Linked DNA regions of Callithrix jacchus. The main gene of each other region encodes a partner of the protein of the gene in region 3 in a complex. Links are inferred from orthologs where the notes say so. Each region holds a gene or a part of one and is shown on either strand. Other genes may lie near its edges.

What was found.
Region 1: the proteins of CAST (region 3) and CAPNS1 are in contact, whole or in part, in a crystal structure (PDB 3BOW), measured with the Rattus norvegicus proteins. The link is inferred for Callithrix jacchus from reciprocal best matches to the Homo sapiens genes CAST and CAPNS1. Residues at the interface, in NP_445747.2 of Rattus norvegicus: Pro652, Ile653, Asp654, Ala655, Leu656, Ser657, Asp659, Leu660, Asp661; in NP_058814.1 of Rattus norvegicus: Phe103, Leu106, Gln109, Leu110, Ile125, Lys128, Val129, Arg132, His133, Leu136, Phe166, Trp170, Lys174, Gln177, Lys181.
Region 2: the proteins of CAST (region 3) and CAPN2 are in contact, whole or in part, in a crystal structure (PDB 3BOW), measured with the Rattus norvegicus proteins. The link is inferred for Callithrix jacchus from reciprocal best matches to the Homo sapiens genes CAST and CAPN2. Residues at the interface, in NP_445747.2 of Rattus norvegicus: Glu571, Leu572, Asp573, Ala575, Leu576, Asp577, Glu578, Leu579, Ser580, Ser582, Leu583, Gly584, Gln585, Arg586, Gln587, Pro588, Leu596, Asp597, Asp598, Lys599, Val600, Lys601, Glu602, Lys603, Ile604, Lys605, Ala606, Glu607, His608, Ser609; in NP_058812.1 of Rattus norvegicus: Glu62, Leu63, Ser68, Lys69, Gln99, Gly100, Ala101, Leu102, Gly103, Trp106, Lys161, Asp162, Leu165, Leu166, His169, Ser196, Gly197, Gly198, Thr200, Ser241, Asp243, Ile244, Thr245, Asp249, Ser250, Glu251, Ala252, Val253, Val259, Lys260.

The regions. Positions count from the first base shown.
Region 1 is NC_133523.1:32,291,532-32,295,274, reverse strand, and holds the start of CAPNS1 (calpain small subunit 1), read right to left. Parts: upstream 2,707-3,743; 5' UTR 2,613-2,706; intron 1,813-2,612; 5' UTR 1,798-1,812; coding exon 1,586-1,797; intron 1,232-1,585; exon of another isoform or gene 1,193-1,231; coding exon of another isoform or gene 1,170-1,192; intron 530-1,169; coding exon 496-529; intron 173-495; coding exon 83-172; intron 1-82. UniProt on the Homo sapiens protein: Regulatory subunit of the calcium-regulated non-lysosomal thiol-protease which catalyzes limited proteolysis of substrates involved in cytoskeletal remodeling and signal transduction. Essential for embryonic development.
Region 2 is NC_133520.1:5,086,537-5,090,279, forward strand, and holds the start of CAPN2 (calpain-2 catalytic subunit), read right to left. Parts: upstream 2,786-3,743; 5' UTR 2,738-2,785; coding exon 2,501-2,737; intron 1-2,500. UniProt on the Homo sapiens protein: Calcium-regulated non-lysosomal thiol-protease which catalyzes limited proteolysis of substrates involved in cytoskeletal remodeling and signal transduction. Proteolytically cleaves MYOC at 'Arg-226'.
Region 3 is NC_133503.1:113,951,387-113,955,129, forward strand, and holds the start of CAST (calpastatin), read right to left. Parts: upstream 2,654-3,743; 5' UTR 2,518-2,653; coding exon 2,443-2,517; intron 1,778-2,442; exon of another isoform or gene 1,666-1,777; coding exon of another isoform or gene 1,636-1,665; exon of another isoform or gene 1,480-1,635; intron 1-1,479.

The DNA.
Region 1 (3,743 bases), on a different chromosome or scaffold from region 3:
TTGGGATTGTTACACAGCCACAAGGGAAGGGATGGGAGGGATGGAAGGGTTAGCACGGGGCCAGGGACCCCAGGTTACTTACATCTCCAGCCAGCTGGGCAAAGAGTCTCCGGAACTGTCGGACCTCCTCACTTTCGTTGGCCTCAATGTTGGAGTAATGTGTGCGTGGAGGCTGCAGAGAGGGAGGAGAGCTCAGAGCTGGTGGGGGTAGGGGACCCGCCCAGGACAGCTCCTCACATTGAGGCACCCTGGGTGGGGAAGTCATAGTGGGCTGGGTGGCTTGATGAGAAAAAGAATGAGGGGTGGCAGCGAATGGGGAGTGTGTATGTCAGGGATGGCTAAACCCCATGGCGAAGCTGCGGACATGGCCCGGGAAGAACTGGCAGAGGAATGTCACAAGAAGTGGTGGAAGGTGGGGCTTCCCTACAGGTACAGGGATGGGACCTCGAAGAGGCCTTGGAGGGAGAAGTTTGGCTGGCTGCAGAGGGGGCTTACCGGGGGCTCCGGGTTATACTGCGCAGCCGCCTCGCTGCGAAGAGATAAGGGGGAGGGGTTAGCGCCTGGGGCGGGGCCTCCAACGGGCAGAGGGGCAGAACCATTGGCCCCGAGGCCACCTTCCTTACTTGGTTGCTGTGCCCCTTACCTGTTCTTGCCTTCACCTGTCCTAATCCACCCTGCCCTGGTCCTGCCCCCCTTCTCCTTTCATCAGGCCAACCCTACCCTCGAGGAAACCTAGAGACCAGTCCCCTGGGAGGCTCCACTCCTGCCAGGCATACCTACCCAAGGGCAGATTCCAGCCATCTTGGCCACCCTCGACCTAAAAATCCCACACAGAATCAACAAACCCTGCCCCTTGGAGAGCTCACTTTATAGAGGCTCTGCCCCAGCTTCCCAAGGCCTCATCCTCCTTAGGTGCCATCTGTCCAAGACCCTACTCCATGGCCCTCTTCTTAAATGGCTATCTTCCCAACATCCAACCACAGGTCCCCGCCCCTTCAAGGGATCATTGTTAAGTGGCCATGGCTAATTAGGCAAACCTGCCCTACCCCTATCAGGACATTTTTCTACATGAATCCAGCCAGTTTCCAGCAGGCCCAGCCCATTTTGGGCTATTTCTCCTATCTCATTAGGCCTTGGTTTCTCCTGGGCTCACATCCTCATTAACCCACCTAAAACCTCTCACCGCACTCATAAGTCAAGCTCCGTCCGTAAAATGTCACTCAGACGCATTGGCTCCGCCCCTTTAACGTTCGTTTCCAGGGTAGCCAATACAGGCCGGGCCCAGATCCATAAGCCCCGCCCCCAAAACTCCAGATCAGTGCCCTGAGGACCACATTGTCCTGGATCCACACAATCAGACCACCCCCATATCAAGTCCTGCCCCCAAGGACTGGTATCACCTTCACTGGGGTCCACCCTCTTATAGGACTCCCAAACCAGGCCACCCCGGCCTAATTCAGGTACCCAGGTCGGCCTCAGGTTAATTCTATTCTAGTCTAGTTAAATTACGCTCCTCCCCAGGCCCCGCCCCTTCTGAGGCTCCTCCCGCGTACAGGCCCCGCCCCTTCAATAGTCCCCACCTCACCTGATGGCGCTGATAACGCCGCCTAGGATGCGCATGGCCGTTCCACCGCCACCGCCGCCTCCACCGCCTCCGCCTCCACCGCCGCCGCCGCCGCCGCCCCCGGCCCCGCTGATCAGGCCTCCAAGTACATTCCCCAGGCCCCCACCCAGGCCCCCGCCTCCCCCGCCGCCGCTGCCGCCGCCGCCCTTCAAGAACGAGTTAACCAGGAACATGGCTGCGACTCACTGCTGGGGGAAAAAAGGGACTAGTGGTTGCGTCGTCCTGAGCCCACACCCTTCCCTCAAACACGCATTTCCGGCAGCTGGACTAGCAGGAGGAATCTGAGGCCCCCGGTGGGGGTCTGAGCCTGCGAGGGAGAATTGTCCTCGGATGGGTGGGGCAGGAACGGGGAATCAGGTTTGCAACCTCCTGGGGTCTAAAAGGCATCCGTGGGGCTTGAGGGAGCCTGGGCTGAGTGCACGCGTTAAGGGGAGGGTGCGGGTCTGGTGGGGGTCCTCTTGGTGGGGACTCCAAGTTGGTGTAAGGCGTGCCCGACGGAACTGAATGGAGAGGTCGCTGGCGGGTCATGGGCGCGGAGCAAACATCCACGGCCTAAAGGGCCCCAGGGCGGGGTTTAGGAAATCCCAAATGCGGGCTTGAGAATTTAGATGTTCCCAGCGGCAGGATTCCAGTGTCACCTTTGGGTCTGTGGGCTCGGGTCTAAGATCGTGGCTGTGATCCCTAGGGTCCCGGATAATGGGGTCCCCCGCTGGAACTGGGGGCACAGATCTACGATTGCGGTTCAGAACGCACCAAGGAAGAATTCAAGGGGTATCTCGGAAATCTATGGGCCTGCATTTTGGATCATGAGACAGAGGGTGGGGAAAGGTCCCCGGGACGGCATAAAAGGGGGTCGAACATGTCTGGGGTTTGAATATGAGACCATGGATCTGGGGACCCGAGGCCGAGACTTCACGGTCTCGCCGGGTCTGGGGACCGCCAGGGCCGGAATTGCAGGGTGGGGAGAGGGTACGGGCCGGGCGCTTACCACCGCACAGGTCCGGAGGTCCCGTGGGGTCCGTTCCACTGCCGCTCCCGGGCCTCCCGCTGCGTCCGGCTCCGAAGGGCGGGGCCGGTGACTCAGGACGCAACTCTCCGGTCAGACTCTGCACCGCGGCCCCGCAGTTGCCCGCGCGGTCCTAGAGCCGAAGTGGAAACTGCGCATGCGCTCCCCGACCCGCCGAGGCTAGCGGAACGCGAATCTGGCTGGACTCCTCCCGGCGCGTTTCCAGCTCTGGAGGTCCTAAACTCGCTCTGACTCGGTAGGCTGGGGTCTGAACCACACCCCTCAAGTCTGGGTTGAGGCGCCAGCGGACTAGAACTCGGAGGGGACCCGCCCCCTCCCAGTGTCGTAATGTGAATTTTCGCCCCAGGGCCTGCCTATACCCTTCCAGAGTGGCGGTTTTCGGTCCACTCACTAAGGAACTCCGCACGGCCCTCTCCAGGTCTTGTCGCGACAAACAGCTCCTGGAGGCCTGGAGTATGGTTTGGCTCGTACGCTCGAGTCTTTGGCGAGGACTTAAGCTGGACTGCCTTTCCGGGTGCCTGCAGCAGCACGGATGGCAGTCAAACCGCAGGCAGGGCCTGCGCCTCCTTCCAAGCTCTCCTTACCACGCCCCCGCCCCAGTCAGGGGCCACCAGAATCGTTGTTTGCTGGACCAGCCCAAAGGGTATCCTCTGTATGCCAGTCTCAAAAGCCCCCAGACACAGGAAGATTCCTTTGGGCACGGCCTGGTTTCTTTATTTACTTAAAAAATATGGCCAGGTGCAGTGGCTCACGCTTGTAATCCCAGCACTTTGGGAGGCCGATGGGGGTGGATCACGAGGTCAAGAGATCGAGACCATCCTGGCCAACATAGTGAAACCCGGTCTCTACTAAAAAAAAAATACAAAAAATTAGCTGGGCGTGGTGGTACATGCCTGTAATCCCAGCTACTCAGGAGGCTGAAGCAAGAGAACCGCTTGAACTGGGGAGGCACAGGTTGCAGTGAGCCAAGATCACGCCATGTGCACTCCAGCCTGGGAGACAGCGAGATTCATGGCGAATCATGACCAACATGGCGAAACCCCGTTGGTCAGGCTGATCTCAAATTTCTGACCTTAGGGGATCCACTTGCCT
Region 2 (3,743 bases), on a different chromosome or scaffold from region 3:
AGGAGAATTGCTTGCACCATTGCACTCCAGTCTGGGTAACAAGAGCAAAACTCCATCTCAAAAAAAAAAAAAAAAGAAATTGCTCTGCTCTGCTAAGTCACCAATGACTTGCTAATGTCCAAATCCAGTGGACACAATTGTGCTCCTCTTGCCTGACCTCTGCAGCATTTGAGAAGGTAGGATGGAGACAGGGAGTGCAGCCATGAGGGGTAGGCTCAACATGCACAGACTACACACAGCCCTGGATTCACACCCTACACAAGCTTGACTCTGGGCAAGTGTTTAACCTTTCCAAGCCTCAGTTTCTTCACCCGGCAAATGGGGAGAGTAATAGTCACACTCTCACTTGGTTGTGCAGTGCAGCCTGCTCTAAGCAGTGGCCCTCCACCATCTCTAGACCTCCATATCCTCATCTGGAAGTCCCACAGGCATTTCCGGCTGTTGGGGGACCTGTCTCGGTCCCCTCTAGCCTCAAAAAAGTCTTCAGAAGCAGGAACTATATGTATTATGCCTGGCACATAGTAGAGATTAGAGAAATCCTTATTGAATGAATGCAAGAGTAAGTGAATAAGTGTGTGAACTCACGGTGTAAACATGCAAATGTAAAGTGAACACATTCTCTTGGGTTGTGTCTCATTTTTTTATTTTTCCTGAGACGGAGTTTTGCTCTTGTTGCCCAGGCTGGAGTGCAATGGCGCAATCTCGGCTCACCGCAGCCTCTGCCTCCTGGTTTGAGGCAATTCTCCTGCCTCAGCCTCCCGAGTAGCTGGGATTACAGGCACGTGCCACCATGTCCAGCTAATTTTTGTATTTTTAGTAGAGACGGGGTTTCACCATGTTGACCAGGATGGTCTTTATAGAGACAAGTCTTACTATGTTGCCCAGGCTGGTCTTAGACTCCTGGTTCAAACAATCCTCTGACTTTGGCCTCCCGTAATGCTGGGATTATCGTCGTGAGACACTGTTGAGTCAGTGTATCGCTTTCACAACCAGGATTTCATGTGAGGCTCATTACAATCCTGCATCCACTCATTCTACAGTCACTTCTTCTGTGTTCAACACCGTATCTCCTGAGCTCTCAGGACAGTGCCTGGCATGTAAGAGGTGCTCAATCAATGCTGTGAAAGGCATGCTTACGTGCTAGGCACTGCGGATATTCTGGTAAATAATGTACATATGATCCCTGCAGTTCAGTAGGAAGAACGAATACATGTGATTATATTTCTCAAGTGTGACAATGCTGGGAAGGAAATGCATGGGGTGAGTTAGAGAATACCCAGGCGGAGGGGAGGCGGCTGCTAAGAAGGGTCAGAAAAGACCTCTTTGGGAAGGGAACGTGTGACTAAGTTGGAAAGAATGAGAGTGAGCTGCACTCCAGAAACCCAGGTAGGATCGTGCCTTGCTGGTGAGAGGGCCTCATGCAGGAAAGAACTGGCCCTTTGAGAGACTGAAAGGAGGCAGGATGGCCGGGCCTGTGGGCCACAGAAGAGAGAAAATATCTAGGCAGAGTGATTTCTTTTAGATGAAGATGTGGAGGCACAGAGAGGTTAAGTAACTCACTCAAGGTCATCCGGCAGGTTAGCAAGAAGAACCCAAGTGCTCCAAGCCTAGGCTAGGGTGCTTGCTGCAGACCTCGCTACCAGCGGGCTGGATTTAGGGTCACAAGGTGACCTGTGAGGCTGCCGGGTGTGGAAGCAGAGCTGGAAGGCTTGTTCTCATAACAGGGATCTAGAAGTTGCACTTCCCTGCAGGCTTTGCTAGGCGTGGCGGGAGAAGCCTGCGAAAGTGTCTCACAGGAGGAAGAGCCACAGGGGTTGTCCAGGAAACGGAGTGGACAAATAGACTGGGGAGCAGAAGGTGTCCCAGGGAAGGGAGGACAGAGACCCTAGGGGGGCAGGATAAGGGGGTCTGGAGGCCTCCCGGAGGATTCCCGCCAGGGAAATCATGAGACACTGGCTCCTTGGAGCACCTCCGTGTCCTCGGTTAATTACCAGTGTCAACATTATGGGGAGGTTTCCCTGGCCCTTTGGAAAAATAAATCTAACCTCAGGGCTGCATGAGACTATCCTTAGTCACAAAATTACCAGGCTGCGGCCTGTCGCCTTCCATGAACAGACAGAACCCGGGTTAGAGACAAGACTTTCTCTGGTAGACGTTGCCTCTCACCATCCCTTCCCTGCACACCCGCTTCCCCTCCCCTTCCAGCTCCCGCTGGAGTCCACTCAGTTTCACCCCGGCCTCCTGTGCCACCCCGAGTTTTTGTGAAGCCCTAAAGCCGCTCCCCTGGCGGGCCTGCGAGTGGGGTTTGAGGGCAGTGATTCGGCCCGATCCGCCCAGGAAAGCTCGGTGCGTGGAAGAGAGGGCAGGCCCCGGGGTCCCCCCACGCTCGAACGGAGTCCCGGGCTCGGGCGGCGCGTTAGTGTCGCGGGCCTGCGGGGTCCCCACTGCAGCCCCGGGGCTGCACCCGCCCTGCCCGCGTCCTGCCGCGCGCTCTGCCTACCGTGGGGCGCTTCCACTCGATGCCCCGGGTCTTGCTGGAGTAGGGCCCCAGCTCCTTGAAGCCCAGGGACGAGGGCATGGCCGGGAAGGAGGGGTCCTGGAAGAGCGCCCCGGCCTCCAGGCACTCGTCCCGCAGCGCCCCGTAGTCCTGGTTCAGGTACTTGACGGCCCTCTCGTGCGAGCCCAGCCCCTGGGCCGCCTCCCGGTCCCTCACCAGCTTGGCCGCGATCCCCGCCATGCTGCGGTCCCGGCGGCCGCACTGCGCAGAGCAAGGTCGGGCGACTCCGCGGGCGCCCCAGCTGCGAGCGATGATTCACCGGAGGGAAGCGGCCCGGCCCGCGGGGTGTGGCCTCAGCCAAGCCCGGCCCGGGACCACCCGCCGCCTGCACCGCGCGGGGACCGGACCGCTGCGGCCCGGGGCCGGTGCTGCCATCTGCGGCCCAATCCCGGGATCGCGCGGGGTCACGGGGGGGGCTCCCACCGGAACCCGAGGCCACCCTCCCGGCCCCTGGGGAGGAAGGCTGGGGACCCCGGAGGCCAGGGTCCTTGTGGCGGCCCAGGAAACACCCCCCGGGGAGTTAGCAGAGGGTCAGGTAGTGAAGTCAACGAAGCGACAGCAGCTGCTGTGAACTTGGAGCCAAAAGCCGTCTCTGCACACAACATGTCATTCAATCCTCCAGCAACCGGGATACTGTCCCCATCTTACAGATGGGAAAAGTGAGCCTTGGAGAGGCTAAACGACGTCCCCACCCTGCAACTGTGAAGAAGGCACTGATACTGTCCCCATCTTACAGATGGGAAAAGTGAGCCTTGGAGAGGCTAAATGACGTCCCCACCCTGCAACTGTGAAGAAGGCACTGATACTGTCCCCATCTTACAGATGGGAAAAGTGAGCCTTGGAGAGGCTAAACGACGCCCCCACCAGCAACTGTGAAGAAGGCACTGATACTGTCCCCATCTTACAGATGGGAAAAGTGAGCCTTGGAGAGGCTAAATGACGTCCCCACCCTGCAACTGTGAAGAAGGCACTGATACTGTCCCCATCTTACAGATGGGAAAAGTGAGCCTTGGAGAGGCTAAATGACGTCCCCACCCTGCAACTGTGAAGAAGGCACTGATACTGTCCCCATCTTACAGATGGGAAAAGTGAGCCTTGGAGAGGCTAAATGACGTCCCCACCAGCAACTGTGAAGAAGGCACTGATACTGTCCCCATCTTACAGATGGGAAAAGTGAGCCTTGGAG
Region 3 (3,743 bases):
GTTCATTTTGATAAGAACCTTAGGACAATAATGACTCAAAGCAAACTTTTTCTCTTAGCACATCAATAAAATGCTACATTTAAAGGTCCAGGAAATGCACTGGAAAACATTCATGAAGAAATATCTCAAGGGAAATTGGAATTCCCAATTCTTAAAAGCATATGTATATAGCATCTTGATTTTGAATCTAATTAGTCCTCACCAGTACTTATGTAGTTCATATCATTTCTAGTTTACAGATGTGAAAGCAGGTTGAAAAGGTTGACTTATTTCCATTTGAGAAAAACTCTTTGTTCTCCACAATGTATGTAGAGGCTTTAAAAAGCACTTGCAGGTGCAGTACAGTGGCTCATGCCTGTAATCCCAACATTTTGGGAGGCTGAGGTGGGAGGATTGCTTGAGACCAGGAGTTTTAGACCAGCCTAGGCAACATAATGAGAGAGACCCTGAATAGTATATTGTATGTATGTATGTGTGTGTGTGTGTGTGTGTGTATACACACACACACACAATAAATATACACACACACACAGTACACATATATAGCCTATCTCCATATATAGTATATATTATATATACTATATATATAGAAAGGGAGAGTAAAAATAATTTTTAAAAACACTACTTGTGGATATAATTCTGCCTGGCACATAGTAGATGATCAATAAATGCCCACTGTCTGATAAGTAACAGTTTCTTGATTCTTATATATGATTTCTAGCTCCAAAGAGTGTCTGATTCCAACATCTTTGCTTTTTCCAACACCACATACTAAGAGAGAAAGAGACATATCTAACTAATTTTTAAATTCTTACCATAAATCAATGGGACATAAACATTTTGGTTTTCACTATCAACAAAACTTTTGTGTGTGTGTGTGTGTGTGTTTTTGGACAGCAATCTAATGTTAAATCATGCTTCCTGGTTCCAAAACACTAGAAGTGCCAGTTTGACTGGATATCACACCTAATTGGTAGGACAGACATTCAATGCACCAAACAAATGGAACGTTCTCGTCCCCCATCTAAAGCAATAAAGTGCAGAGCAGATCGCTGTCGTGCGCGCTGTCTCTCTCCCTCCCTCTCTCACTTCCTCGCTTTCTCTCTCCCATCCCTCCAACGCTCCGTCCAAGGGTCTTGGTCTCAGATCTCAGTTGCTTCTGCGCCTTGGTGTTTGAGATTTTCTCCTTGACTTACATTGCAGCTGCCTCTCCTTTGCGTTGGCAAATATAAGACCAACAACCTCCCTCTGAAAGTTTTGAGGTTTACTTAGGGGTTAAAAACAAACCCTAGATCTAAGCTCGTATGAGCTGCGTCCGAGTTCATTCAGGAATCCACCTCCTAGACGGAATTCCTCCAGCAACAATTCCAGTTCCATCCCACTTGTACCGGGGCGAGAGAGGTGCATGCACCACGCACGCTTGGGCGCGCTCCCACATACCACAAGAGGGAGAGTCCCCGGCCTTTCCCGGAGCCTAACCTGACGGTCTGTAAGGAGGTCGCACCCGGTCCGCAACCCTTCTCCGCCAAACTTTGCACAACGCTTCGTCCGCAGGTCCAGAAGGGCAAAGCCAACTCACTCCCTTCCAACACCCTCCCTTCCCGGTCTTGCCCGGGCACAACCGCTGCTATTTACCGTCTTGTACCACCAGCTGGCGAATGCCATGGCGACAACCGGCTGGCTCCGATTCGCACGGCGGGGGACCCGGAGAGGACGCGGGGTGCTGTGCTGGGGGCGCCGGGCTCGCACTATGCCTGGCCGGGACTTGGCTGGCACTGAGCTCGGCTCACCCCAAGGCTGCCAGGTGGGCAGAACCCTGGGGGCGGGGCCAGTAGTAGATCCCGCCCCGCCGTGCCCCTCCCCGCCGCGCCCGCCCGATTTGGCTCGGGGCTGGTTAGGGAAGAGGCTCCGGGTCTGCAGGTGGGCAGAACCTTGGGGGCGGGGCCAGTCGCAGGCCCTGCCCCGCAGCGCCCCTCCCCGCCCCGCCCGCCCGATTTGGCTCAGGGCTGGATAGGGAGGAGGCTCGGCGTCTCCAGGCAGCCGCGCCCTGCGGCTCGGCACTAGAGTAGAAGACTAGATCCCGCTGTCTAGTGAAACCTCCCCACTCACTCGGGGGTCCTGAGTGAACCTCATTCCCTTTTCATCCTTATCCTCATTCACCACGTCTCACCAGCCAACTTTTCTCGACGCGCCCCCCACCCACTATACCCAGCCAACGCCACGCCCAGCGCTCTGGAGCCGACCGGGAAACCGCGGCCACCTCCAGCCACCTGCCAAGTGGCGGCCAAGCCAGGAGCCCTCTCCCTGTCCCTCTCCCTGCCCCGCTGGGGCGCCGGGGACAGCAGATCGGCCAGCCCCGCAACGCCCCTGGAGGGCGGCCTCAGCTCCGAGACCCAGTCCCCAGTCTCCCAGCCCCGCGGCACCGACAGGAGCTCCACTCACCTCCTGGGTGCGGCGGGCTGCGGCAGCGCGCCCGGGCCGCGGGGAGGCGGCGGGCTTCCGGCCAGGCTGGGACATGGCGAGGCCGCTGCGGGCGCTGCCTCCGGGAAGGCGCCGCAGAGAGTGGCAGGGAGGCCAGCGAGGGAGGGAGGGAGCGGAGGGCCCGGGAGCGCGCGGTGAGACAGCTTTTCCGACCCCACCCCAGGCCCGCACCGGGGTTCCCCTCGCCCCGTTGGGCCCTCCCCTTCCTGCCCGCGGGGGGACCCGGACTCCTGCCCTGTAACTTAACACCCTCCGCCCCGGTCCTCAACGGGTGACCCTCCCCGGCCCCAGCACTGCTCGGGTCCCGGTTGGTCAGAAAAAAGGGGTTGGAGGTTACAGCGTTCCTCCTTCGATGCCCAGATCGATCTTGCAGTTGTGCAATGAGACAGCGGGACCCGGGCGTGGCCCATCTGCGCTTCGACCTTCCTCCCAAGAATCCGGAGTAGTAGATACTCTTTTTACATTCCGCCCTGCTTTAGCTGAGAGGTTGCCAACTTAAATCTGGCTCAATCCTGGACTGTCTAGATAAGGAAGCGGATCATAAAAACAATTTGTCTGTGTGTGAGTGTTTAAGTGAGGGCACTGGCCTGTGTGTGTTTTATATGATTTTACTTTGTTTTTTTGGCAATTTTGAATTTTAATAAACTTTTATGGGGAAGAGATCATATATGCCAATGCAAACCGGAGAACAGTTCCAAATTTTAAACCGTTATTAAAAGGTTATAGTCTTTCTGCAGTCTGGAGGGTTCTGTTTCTGAAGCTAGATTGCTTTTGTCTTGGGCTCATCTTAGCACTTCCTGGTTTGGGGTTGGAAGTGAAATTTAACAAGCCCTACTAGGATAAGCTCTTGTAAGAGACTGTCAGCCTGCAGTTGCTGCTGGTTCACCGTCGGGCCTGACAGAAAACCTGTTTGTTACCCTGCAATAGCAACATCATTTTGGGACTTGGGGTCACAGCTGTCTGCAGGATTGAGGTTTAGACAATTGAAGAGAGAGAAAGTAGATTCGTTTTGTTTTGTTTTGGAGTCTCAGTGTTGCTCTTCCGCCCAGGCCGGAGTGCAGTGGCGCGATCTCGGCTCACTACTGCAACCTCCTGCCTCAGTCTCCTGAGTAGCTGGGACTACAGGCGCGTCCCCACACCCAGCTAATTTATTTATTTATTTATTTAGTAGCTAATTTATTTATTTTTAAGTAGAGACGGGATTTCACCACGTTGGTCAAGACTGGTCTTGAACTCCTGACCTCAACTGATGCACCCACTGC